Linked DNA regions of Rattus norvegicus. The protein of the gene in region 1 interacts with the protein of each later gene in a biochemical or structural test. Links are inferred from orthologs where the notes say so. Each region holds a gene or a part of one and is shown in the gene's direction. Other genes may lie near its edges. The genes, in order: Pbx1, Pknox1 and Hoxb1.

Region 1 (3,646 bases):
TTGTGTTGGAAGAAAGCCATGCTGTAGTTTTCCTTCTGGACCAGGCATGCACTGTCACTTCATTCTGAGGGGTGCTATCTGTTGTGAGCCAGGAACATGTGGGTACAGCCAGCAGTGATACTCACATCATTATGTTGAGTTCATTCCTACCTTCCCCACCACAGCCCCTGGAGGAGGGAGAGCTGCCTAGGAGACAGCTAGCTCTGGTCTGTCCTCTTCGTACCCTAAACAGCTCTTGACTCTCACAGTTCTTGCGCATCTACTAGGACCTAGATCTCCTCTCCTCCATCCTTGCCCTTCCCTCCTCTTCTGTTCTCAGAATTCTCTCCATTTTTTTTTTGTTATTGCTTTTGGTTTTTTGTTTGTTTGTTTTCCCAACACTGAAAATGGTCTTCTTGTTCTCTTTCAACAAAAACTTGGCGACTGATGACACAACTGGATTTAGTTGAGTGGTTTGTTTATCAGAAGGCAGGCTGTGTTCAGGAGGCACAGAAGCAACTCTCCTGTGAGCCATTCTGCAAACTCACTTCATCTCCTTCAGTTCAAGTCACCCCCACCCACAAAGTTGTGGTGCTTCCCTAAAACATAGCCTGGTTTTGATCTGAAACTTTGTTCTACCTGAACTCAGGGTTGGGCAAATCCATGAAAACAGCTTCTTACAAACACCACACCCTCACTTTGCACAGGACAGAAAGCTTACCACCCACCATAAATGGAGCTCTGTTTTCAAAAGCAGCATGTCCTATGCCAGGGTCGATTTGTCTTTGTATTTTTCTACACTACTCTCTATTCTTTCAGCCAGTCCAGGGAAAATCTCTCAAGATTTAATTCCATGGACTGGATTTACCTTGCTGAAGCTATTTCGGAAATGACAGCACAGGTTAATTCAATATTACAGTGAAAGTTAACAGAGTAAAAGCCACAAACAAAAATGTAAAGTAAGAGATGCTCTTTTTTTGTTTGTTTGTTTGTTTGTTTGAAACCTGGCTGTTTGAAGATTAAAGTAAAAAAAATCACATTTTGTTATAATTAATGTTTGCAGTCCTACATTGATGGTAGTAAAACGCATATAACGGGAATTTTGTCAGTTTTGTAATGTGCAGGTTAGCGGCATTAACTAAATTCACATGGTTGTGTTTTCGCTATCCATCTTGTTAGGAGGTGGGTAGAGACAAAGCCTCATATGGCCCAGGCTGGCACTCATGAGCAAACACACCTACACTCACACATGCACATGAACACAAATACACAATGATGACCTTGAACTCCTGGCCTTCCTGGGTTCACTAAGTGCTGGGATTATAGCTGTGACCCACAGTGTCTGACTTCCAGAAACTTCTTTCGTCTTCCCCAAGAGAACCCCCACATGTATCATACTAACTCTCCCTTGCCCCTTCTTCTGGTCTCAACCCCACTGTTCTCCTATCCTAGGTATCTCATATAAGTAGTTTCTTTGGAGCAAAGCAGGTATCTCCTTCCACATTCCCATCTTCTCAGTCGATGTCCTTCCTGTCCTCTGATCTCCACATACCATATGACACTTGATCTGGAAGCTGGCTTAACTGAGGGAAACAGTTGGATTCTTATAGTTTGTGTCTGGTAAATGATTTCCGAGTTGCCGCTGCTAATCCTTTCTTTTTCCCTTTGTCTTTCTCCGTAGTTTTGAGTATTCGGGGAGCCCAAGAAGAGGAGCCCACAGACCCCCAGCTCATGCGACTGGACAACATGCTGCTAGCAGAAGGGGTGGCGGGGCCTGAGAAGGGCGGAGGCTCGGCAGCGGCAGCGGCAGCAGCGGCAGCTTCTGGGGGTGCAGGTTCAGACAACTCAGTGGAGCATTCCGATTACAGAGCCAAACTCTCACAGATCAGACAAATCTACCACACAGAGCTGGAGAAGTATGAACAGGTAACCATACCCCTATAGACTGGGCACCATGGTGGTCATTGGCCAAGGAAGGGCAGAACAAACCGCAGCCTCACAGCCTATGAACATGTCTTGGTCAGCCTTTCCCATAGGTCAGGGCTTATCTTAGAACCTTGAGTCCCTTCAAGAGCCTGTTCTCAACTATTGAAAACCTAGGCCTTACATGGGACAAGATACTATAACCATGATGTTGCAAATGATGACTGAAAGAAATATGAGTGGCCAATGTAAGGAGTCTCCTGTGCTGGGAACTCTAGAACATCTGTAAACATAGAACATGCTTGGCTCTCCCTAGAGCACACAGACCATTGTCAGAATTGCAACCCAATTACAGGGATCGCTGGCTTCCTTCGGCCGATGCTTGCTGTTAAGTTGAAGAACATTACTCTTTTGAATGCTCAGAGAATTCCATGGGAAGGGACATTTGGACCTGACCTTTCCATGCTGGGGTCAGCTGAGCCAAACGTGCCTTCTTTTCTATGTGTGATATGTGGTGTGACATACAGTTCTCCACAGAGATAATAAGTCATCTCAAGAGCTATTCTAGAGCCACACCACCTTCAATTCCAGTCCTAGCATTTTTCTGATGGTGTCATATATGTGCATGCCGTACCCCAAAGATAGAAAACTGTAGATTCACAAAGGGTCATAGAAGTCCTTTGGAAAGACTAGGATTGCTTTAAGTCACAAAGTAGCATAAAGAAATGAGGTACCATATAATGCCAGAGCTCTCCCTGGTAGGGAAAGCCCACCTGTCCCCCATAGACTGGGACTTCTATATCAGTGCCATTACTCCAGCCATTGTGAACCGCAGTGCTCTGTCAGGTGTCCTTTAACACCCAGATCTCCTGTTTCTTTAACCGACAAATATATTCATTGTCCCTGTTGGATTTGATGCTGAACTCCAGCTCTATATGAATGTCTTTCCTTGAATTAGATTTTCTTTTACCATTTTTTTGTGGGCCAAAAAGGAAGAGGGGGGCAGAGAACAGTCTACTTATGATTGCCTAGTTAGCCAGCAAATGTGAACGTAATAGAAAATTTAAATTTTAAAACAGAAATGGGCATTTTAAAATTTAAAGTGGAGAAAGGTTCATGAGCGCACCCCTGTCCACCTTTGGAGTGGAAACCCACAAAATCCACTCTCTTACACAGGAGGAGATGCTATGCCTCCTTAAGTTAGTCACAGTGAAAATTCAACCACCAGACAAGGTGCAGTGGGAGCTGAAGGGGAGAAAAAAATAAGTCAGCATGTTTGGAACTATGAGAACACTACCCTATGTGTTCTTGAAAAAGAACACGTGTTCTTGACACATCTTGGCTCCCAGAGACTTTTCTCAGGTCCCAGGAGAGTCTGGGATGAGTTGGTCTACCTGCTAATGGTGCTTTTCTCCACCTGGGTCATCCCGAACCTGGACTCTGCACTAACTCGGTGGGACTTTAGAAGATGCACGTGCAGACTTTTCTTATAAAGATCTCCAGATGGCTTCTCAGTTTATCCCCTCCATACTACTCTTACTTCACCTTCTCCAGGAAGCGTGGCCTCTTCCCATCAACCTGCCTAGACCTGACACCTCAGGTAACTCATGCCAGTTAATCAAGGCATGAAAGAAACGTAGAATAAACGCAGCTTCCTCCAATCGCGCAACTGCGATGCGTGTTAGGCTTGAGGGTTTTGATGGATGGCTTCATTGTTAGCTTGGGATGTATACAGCACAGAACT
Region 2 (3,646 bases), on another chromosome or scaffold:
AGTTTACCTTCCTGGTCTCCTGGTTTCTAGCTAATTTTCCCTTTAACAATCTAACTAATTGTGCCTCCTCGTGAGGTGGGGCTCACCTCCTCGTGAGGTGGGTGTCTGAAGATTCCTTGGGGCCGACTGCTCCCACAGGGGGCGGGGGGAGTCTGCTCCACTTGAGCCGTGAGTACAGGTCTAATCTTAGAAACAGGCTTGAGTCGTCATCTGCAAAGCAGCTCCCTCCCAACACTGACACTAGTTGCTCTGCCTTCTTCCTGTCCAGCGCAGTGGAGAGAGGTCTTTGAGGACACAGCGTCCTTCTTCAAGGCACCTACACTGCCTGCCTTTGAGCCTGAGCCTCTGCCAGACTCAGATACCCCACAGCAAGGCCTTCTCTGGGTTTTGTGAATTCCCTGTGGGACTCAGGACTCAGTGGGTCTTTGGAAGCGTTATTGTCTGTGGATAAAGTGTGTCAGTGTTAGGTCTGATGCTTTACATTTCTTACTTGATCTTTACCACCTGAGAGGCTTCCGAGGTGGGCCGTGTCAGACTCTGCCTCGTGTGCTCTGAAATGCCTGTCATTTGAGCAAGAATCAGAAGAGCTTTTGGTTCTGGCCCATCCCTGGCCTGGCTCAGTCGGTGTTTTGACTGGCAGCACCATCTAAGCCCAGTTCACACTCCATAGCTTTTGCTTCTGACCGGTCTCTCACTGCATCAAGAATGTAGATGACTTCATACATGAGCCTGTGGCTGAGGGGCTGGCCTGTGCTCCCAGCAAGGAGTACCAATGACAGGGCACTGTTGGCATTTGTGACCCATTGCTTGGGAGCAAGTCTCCTCGGTGCTTGATGACATCATATTAAACAGGAGAGAAATAACACAAGAGGTTGGGATCTAGAGCTATGCAGAGTTCTCAGACTTGACACCAGACACATGATCCAGAAAGGGCAGAGCTGGAGGTTGGCCTTTGAGAGCCACCTACAGGACAGATGAAGATGTGGAGATGGAGTAGGGCGAGGCTGCAGCACAGCCATGCTGAAAGGGGCACCCTGCTCTGCGTGCGGCCCAGGTGCAGCCCGAGTAGGGCAGAGGCCAGGACACAACGCTGCTCCTCTCCTCTCGCTAGCACTGCCGCTGTCTCCATCTAATAAGTAAGCAGTGTATGACGATGGCAGCTTCTCATACAGACGATGGCACACTGTTTCCCACTTCAAAGTCTGTATTTTCCCTACCTCTAGATGGTGAAAGCAATCCAGGTCCTGCGTATTCATCTTCTTGAACTGGAGAAGGTGAACGAGCTCTGTAAAGACTTCTGTAGTCGGTACATTGCCTGTCTGAAGACAAAAATGAACAGCGAGACCCTGCTGAGTGGGGAGCCTGGAAGTCCGTACTCCCCAGTGCAGTCCCAGGTACTTTGGGGCCCAGTGTGCTTCTTGGTCATTGTGGTATTGGTCACTTGGCGTTAACTCCCGACCTCCTGCTCCTACACAATCGCTGGCTTCCGTGATGACGTAAGACCCTTACCTTGTTGTCGTCACTGTAGCCATTTCAGGGAATGTAGTCAGGGTACCAAGTGCATCCTCACTGTTGTGTAACCATCGCCACCACTGTAACTCCAGGACTCTCCCGTCTTCCCAGGGGAAGTCCTCTCTCATTAGATACAACTCCTCCTGCTCTCCATGGCCCTGCCATTCTCTTTCTCATCTCTGAATTGACTAGCTGGGTTCCTCACAGAAGTAGACTCATACAGTATCTGGCAAACTTCTCAGAGCTCCCTGAAGCCTAGTCAGGGATGAGGCACCACTGTGGTATGTGCTGTTTCGTCATGAACTTTGTTTGTTTATCCCTGACAGCAAATGGTATTTTCACGTGCTGATCTGCCGTCTGTGTGACGTCTTTGCTAAAAGACGGCTTACGTCTTTGCTCATTTTGTAAACTTTTATTTCCCTTAAATTTCTGAGTTTTGAACGTTCTAATTGTCTGCCAGTGTTTATCTGCTTTGACGCCTGCTGCTAGGAGCTCTCCTGCTGGACTGCTTTTCCTTCCTGTTTGTCAAAAGCCGGGTGGGTGTTTGATGTTCTGTACCATGAGGCCGGCCGTGATTATTACAGCTCTTGGCGAGTCTCGGGCATCGGAGAGATGGTCTCCTCCCTCTACATTTTCCTTGGAACTGTTTTCGCTCTCTTCCGGTGGCTTTGCTCTCCCATATAAACGGTCAGTGCTGCTGTGTAGACCTATAGAACAAATGCCCCGTGGGCACTGACAGAATGCACTGACCCTGTGCCTCGGTTAGGGGAGCTGACTTCTTTACTCTGTGACTCTTCAGTCCAGAAACACGGCACACGGCTGCATCACCGGGGCCTTTTCATCAGTGCTTTGTAGCTCAGCACAGTGACCCCTGAGCTTTCGGAAGTACACACGAGGAGCTGGGTGTAGTGGCACCCCTAGCGCCAGCACGAGGGAGACAGAGGCGGGCAGATCTCGGTGAGTTTGAGGCTAGCCTGGTCTTCCTATAAGTCCTAGAGCAGGCAGAGCTACACACGCTGAGACTCCGACTTAGTGCACAGGGGTGTTTCTCTGAGTGACTGTACATGGGTTGTGTTTGTAAAGATTCACTTGTTTTTAGATGTGTGGGTGTAGCCTACATGAATACCTACCTTGTCTGGATTCTGAGGAGGACAGAGGAAGGTGTCAGGCTCCCTGGAACCACCGTGAGGGAGCTGCCATGTAGTTCTGGGAACCAAATCCTGCTTCCTGGAACCGCCCTGTGTGCCCTTATCTCCTGAGCCGCCCCTGCAGCCCGGGATGGCAGTTTTAGGTTTTTGTTTTCTGAAGAAAAGCAGTTAAGTTTTGGTTTGGTTTTCTTTTTGTTTTTTTGAGGCATGGGTTCTTTGTGTAGCCCAGGCTGCCTTAGAACTCTGTATCTTGGGCTGGAGGGACTTATCTTAGCTCAGAGGTTAAGAGCACTGACTGCTCTTCCAGAGGTCCTGAGTTCAATTCTCAGCAACCACATGGTGGCTCACAACCATCTGTAATGGGATCTGATGCCCTCTTCTGGTGTGTCTGAAGACAGCTACAGTGTACTTATACATAATAAATAAATCTTAAAAAAAAGAACTCTGTATCTCTGTACACCAGGCTGGCCTCAAACTCATAGAGATGTGCCTGCCTCTGCCTTCCAAGTGCTGGAATTAAAGCTGCACGTCACCATATGGCTTCTTTCTTCTTTCTTCTTTCTTTTTTTAGGGTGGGGCTAGTTTTTAAAGTGCCCTAGGAAGATTCATAAGAAAACCATACAAAGCATATAAGCCTGTGTGTTTCTGTAAGCAGGTGTCGGTTGTAGAAAGTAGTGGATTTCATTTTTTTAAAGAAAGATTTGTTTATTTACTTATGCATATGAGTACACTGCAGCTGTCTTCAGACACACCAGAAGAGGGCATCAGATCCCATTACAGATGGTTGTAGCCACCATGTGGTTGTTGGGATTTGAACTCAGGACCTCTGGAAGAGCAGTCAGTGCTCTTAACCGCTGAGCCATCTCTCCAGCCCCCATGGATTTTATTTTGACATTCCACACATGTGTATGCGATGCTTTGGTCATGCGTACGGGTCTGTTAACTTTCTTACCCTCTTCCCCATCTGTCAGAGCCTCTCCCAACAG
Region 3 (4,362 bases), on another chromosome or scaffold:
CCCAGGCCTGTGGCCGGGCAGACACCCTGACAAGTTACAAATGAGAGTGGGTGTTGGATTCTTGTCCTCAGAGTCTGGAGGAGGAGACATCAATGAGCCCTACCCAAGAGCTTCTCTTCTAACTCCAAACTGCCTGCTGCATTTCAGAGAGTGACCAAGGCTCTTCCTGTGTCCCCTCCCCTAACCTGATCCCAAGAGCAAGAAGGTAAATTTCACCTCTAAGCCTTAGTTTAGAAGCTCTACACCGATTCTCCCATTCTCTGAGCAAACTAAACTTCCTTTACCTATTCTAGAACACTAGAAAATTCGGAAATGGAAAATTCAGATCGTCTTCAAGACTTAACTGGCATTGGATTTATGTATTTGAGTCCTGGAATTAAAAAAAAAAACTTTTAGGGAGACTAAAGATAACGGAGGGGTTTAGGGAGGAGGAAGCCTGAGAAATGCAGAGTCTTTACTAGTTTTGAACACTTGTGAGAAGAGGATTAAAATTCCCTTCCTTCTCACCCCTCTGTAAATATCACCTGGTTCTGCTGCTCATTGCTGCTCTCCGGAGAGAGACAGGGAGTTATTTAAGTCTGAGTGAGTGAGCCAGTTACAGCTATGGATGGCTAGAGAAAGGATAAATACATCTAGAGAGATGAGTTGATGGATAGGTAGGGAGTGAATATAAATGTGGAGCGAGATGGACGAACGGAGAGATGAATTGAGACAGAGGGGATATAAAGGGAGGCTGAGGGAGAGAAGTGGCTTGCGAATGAGGGGAGAGCATTTATGCAGAGAGATGGAGAGAACAGGGCGTCCCTCATCTTCCCTCCCCATTCCCTTTTCCCTCTCGTGTTCCTTGAAATGCTGCTTTTCCCTCCTCTTGATTTGTAATGAATTCTTCTGGATTTGAGACCCTGGCTCACACCCTGAGGTGTTTTTACAGCCCTTCTCCCTTCCTAGTCATCCTTTTGTCCCAAGATAACATACCTCATCAGGCTGTCCTAGCACATCATCCCAAGACAAACTGGGAGAAAGAGACATGGAATGGGGGTTCTGGGCAAAGTAGGGAGTCTGGCTCTCCAAGCACTAGCCTTACAGCCTTGGGGTGGGGGTAGGCTTCTTTGAGGGGAGAAGAGAGTGAGGGGCAGCTGGGTTGAATTTGGCCAAATCTAATAATCCAGGAACCTATTGAAGGCCTTGGGGGTTGGGAGGGGAGTAAAGTCTTGAATATTCTTCCAACTTCTCCCCCCCCCCCCACCTCTCCCTCTGGTCCCTTCTTTCCAAAAAGTCTTTGAAGAAAGATGTTTTTGACGCTTCCATGTCGCTCTCAGATGGATGGGCTCAGAGTGATTGAAGTGTCTTTGTCATGCTAATGCTTGGGGGGTGATGGATGGGCGCTGGAGCTGCCAAACTCTGGCCCGCTTAGCCCATTGGCCTGGGAGAGATCACATGTGCCCCCCCACCCCCACTGCCTAGTCCCTTCCTAGGGGATCGCTAGCGGGGACAAGCAGGCCCGGGCCATGGACTCAAGCTTCAGCGCTGTGACATACTGCCGAAAGGTTGTAGGGCAAGAGGGTGTCTCCCCCAAACGGCCCGACCCTCCTTCGGCCTCTAATGGACTATAATAGAATGAATTCCTTTTTAGAGTACCCACTTTGCAATCGGGGACCCAGCGCCTACAGCGCCCCAACCTCTTTTCCCCCCAGCTCAGCTCCGGCGGTTGACAGCTACGCAGGGGAGAGCCGCTATGGTGGAGGGCTGCCCAGCTCAGCGCTCCAACAAAACTCGGGGTATCCTGTCCAGCAGCCGCCTTCATCCCTGGGGGTGTCCTTTCCCAGCTCCGCTCCCTCGGGGTACGCCCCAGCCGCCTGCAACCCCAGCTATGGGCCTTCTCAGTATTATTCTATGGGTCAGTCGGAAGGAGATGGAGGCTATTTTCATCCGTCGAGCTACGGAGCCCAGCTAGGGGGTTTGCCCGACAGCTATGGAGCGGGTGGAGTCGGCTCAGGGCCATATCCTCCACCGCAACCCCCTTACGGAACTGAGCAGACCTCAAACTTTGCATCAGCCTACGATCTCCTCTCTGAGGACAAGGAATCATCTTGCTCGTCAGAACCCAGCTCTCTCACTGCCCGGACCTTCGACTGGATGAAGGTCAAGAGAAACCCACCTAAGACAGGTAGGGCTCAGAGGAGTGACTTCCTCTCCTTGGCTCAGGCATACATACACAGAGGGGCCTGAGCCCGGGCTTCATTCATTCTTTCAGCTGCTTTTATTGGTAGGTAAGTACTTTCTGGGCTCAGGTCAGCAGAGATTTCGAGGCTACTTCCTTCCTAAGGAGGTCTCCGTAGTCTTGTGTGCGCGCCCACTTTGGAGCCAGTATTTCATGTTTCTGGTCTGAAGGTGAGTATGGGCGGGAAGATGATGGTTCTAGATCTCCTAGATGATGGAGGGTGTGTGTGTGTGTGTGAGAGAGAGAGAGAGAGAGAGATGCCACATAGGGACTGCATTGGGTAGAATGATGAATGAGGGCCCAGAGTGGACTGGGAGGAGTGGAGGGGAGGGAGAAAGAGGTGAGAGGACTGACGTGGCTTTTCTCCCTGCCCCGCCCCTAGCAAAGGTGTCCGAGCTGGGACTGGGCACTCCCGGCGGTCTCCGTACAAACTTCACCACACGCCAGCTGACGGAGCTGGAGAAAGAATTCCATTTCAACAAATACCTGAGCCGCGCCCGGAGGGTGGAGATCGCCGCTACCCTGGAGCTCAATGAAACGCAGGTGAAGATCTGGTTCCAGAACCGGCGCATGAAGCAAAAGAAACGCGAGCGAGAGGGGGGCAGGGTGCCTGCAGGCCCTCCAGGTTGCCCCAAGGAAGCGGCTGGAGAGGCCTCCGACCAGTCTGCGTGCACCTCCCCAGAAGCTTCGCCCAGTTCCATCACCTCTTAAATTGAACTTCCTAAGTAACCCGGCTTCACACACTGGACCCAGTCCTCTCCTAGACTCTCCCAACCTTCACAGCCCTGGTGACCCTCCTCAAGGCCGAGGAACAAGTTTAGGAAACTGGGCAGAAGTGGGGAAATCAATTTTTTTCCCCTTCAGATCTAGAAGTGGAGGGATGATTGATGGCTGGGGCGATCCTACAGGTCTTGGGACCTGGGGAGCACTCAAACCATCAGAGGTCGAAGGAAGGTCTTTTGGCTTTGATCTGGAGATTGCCTCAACACATCAGAGTAGGAGTCAGCCCGACCTTCTGGCTTCTCCTTTCCCGTCCAATTCGAGTTCAGTGCCTTTGAGCTTGGAGAGTTCTTCTTTAGCTTCTTACCCCAACTCCTCTTCCTAGGCCCGGGATAGAAAGAGCCCTTGGGATTTTCCAGTGGAGGATGTGTTAGTGTGTAAACACATCGCCACCAACCCTTAACTGTAATCCTTAATCCAGCCAACACACCGCAGACCTTACAATAGCACCGACTGCCTTGTGACATGCCAAAAAAAAAAAAAAAAAAAAAACAAAAAAAAAAAACAAACCCCTCTAGTCCCAAGTAATCCCACAAGCCCTTTCCAGACATATTCCTATTGCACTAATGTGGCCCTCAGTGGCTGGCTCAGGAGATCCGCCCCTTCCCACAGGCATCACTAAATCACCAAAGTGTTTTGGAACTTGGCACCACAGAGATTTCCGGAGCATCATCCTAAGGACTGCCTCCAGCAAGCCTCAACCACGAAGGGGCGAATACCCCTCCCCTCTCCCTATTTATTACCTCCGGAAAAGCGCCCCCCCCCCCCGCGCGCCCCATTCTCCTTTCCATAAAACCACCCTACTCCTGGGGCTGTCTGGGGAGGTCCAGGAATGGCGACAGAATTCCCAGCAGCTTCGGACATTTCTCTGAACCTTGGAGACAGCAGAGAGGCCACTTGAGTTTCTGGAAACCCAAGCTCCAAGCAAGCCAGGTTCTCTTTGTATCTGTGACTACCTCATTGCAATAAAGTCTGTCCTCTCCCCCTTTTCTTTCTGCGTTTGCTTCTCCGTCTTGGGGTGGAGGAAGAGCTATGAACTCTACTTGGCCATTGACTGAGTTGGAAAGGCATTGCCGGGTTCCAGCCAAGGTAGAAGAGGATCCCCAGATCCCTAGTAATCCACTGGTCTTTTTCAGAGAACTCAGAAACACATGATAGAAAATGGGGGAACCAGATGGTTCTGAGATGATCTTGAGGAAAGGGGTGGAAGAAAGGGAAAACATATCTGTTTGATGTCTGTGAAGGGAATTATGGGGGAATGGCAGAGGGGACTCTACCTGCTTCCTTTCCCTCTATCTCGCCCCAGTTCCCCCCAGAAACTAAAGAGATCAGGCTTGGGACTGTGGGGTGTCGGTACCCCC

What was found.
Region 2: the proteins of Pbx1 (region 1) and Pknox1 form a complex in vitro, tested with the Homo sapiens proteins (2 studies listed by BioGRID). The link is inferred for Rattus norvegicus from reciprocal best matches to the Homo sapiens genes PBX1 and PKNOX1.
Region 3: the proteins of Pbx1 (region 1) and Hoxb1 are reported together in a solved structure, tested with the Homo sapiens proteins (2 studies listed by BioGRID and IntAct, with this or other methods). The link is inferred for Rattus norvegicus from reciprocal best matches to the Homo sapiens genes PBX1 and HOXB1.

What each region holds. Positions count from the first base shown.
Region 1 is NC_086031.1:82,901,034-82,904,679, reverse strand, and holds part of Pbx1 (pre-B-cell leukemia transcription factor 1), read left to right. Parts: intron 1-1,660; coding exon 1,661-1,905; intron 1,906-3,646. UniProt on the Homo sapiens protein: Transcription factor which binds the DNA sequence 5'-TGATTGAT-3' as part of a heterodimer with HOX proteins such as HOXA1, HOXA5, HOXB7 and HOXB8. Binds to the DNA sequence 5'-TGATTGAC-3' in complex with a nuclear factor which is not a class I HOX protein.
Region 2 is NC_086038.1:9,688,153-9,691,798, forward strand, and holds part of Pknox1 (homeobox protein PKNOX1), read left to right. Parts: intron 1-1,223; coding exon 1,224-1,394; intron 1,395-3,646. UniProt on the Homo sapiens protein: Activates transcription in the presence of PBX1A and HOXA1.
Region 3 is NC_086028.1:81,826,417-81,830,778, forward strand, and holds Hoxb1 (homeo box B1), read left to right. Parts: upstream 1-1,498; 5' UTR 1,499-1,602; coding exon 1,603-2,167; intron 2,168-2,603; coding exon 2,604-2,932; 3' UTR 2,933-3,988; downstream 3,989-4,362. UniProt on the Homo sapiens protein: Sequence-specific transcription factor which is part of a developmental regulatory system that provides cells with specific positional identities on the anterior-posterior axis. Acts on the anterior body structures.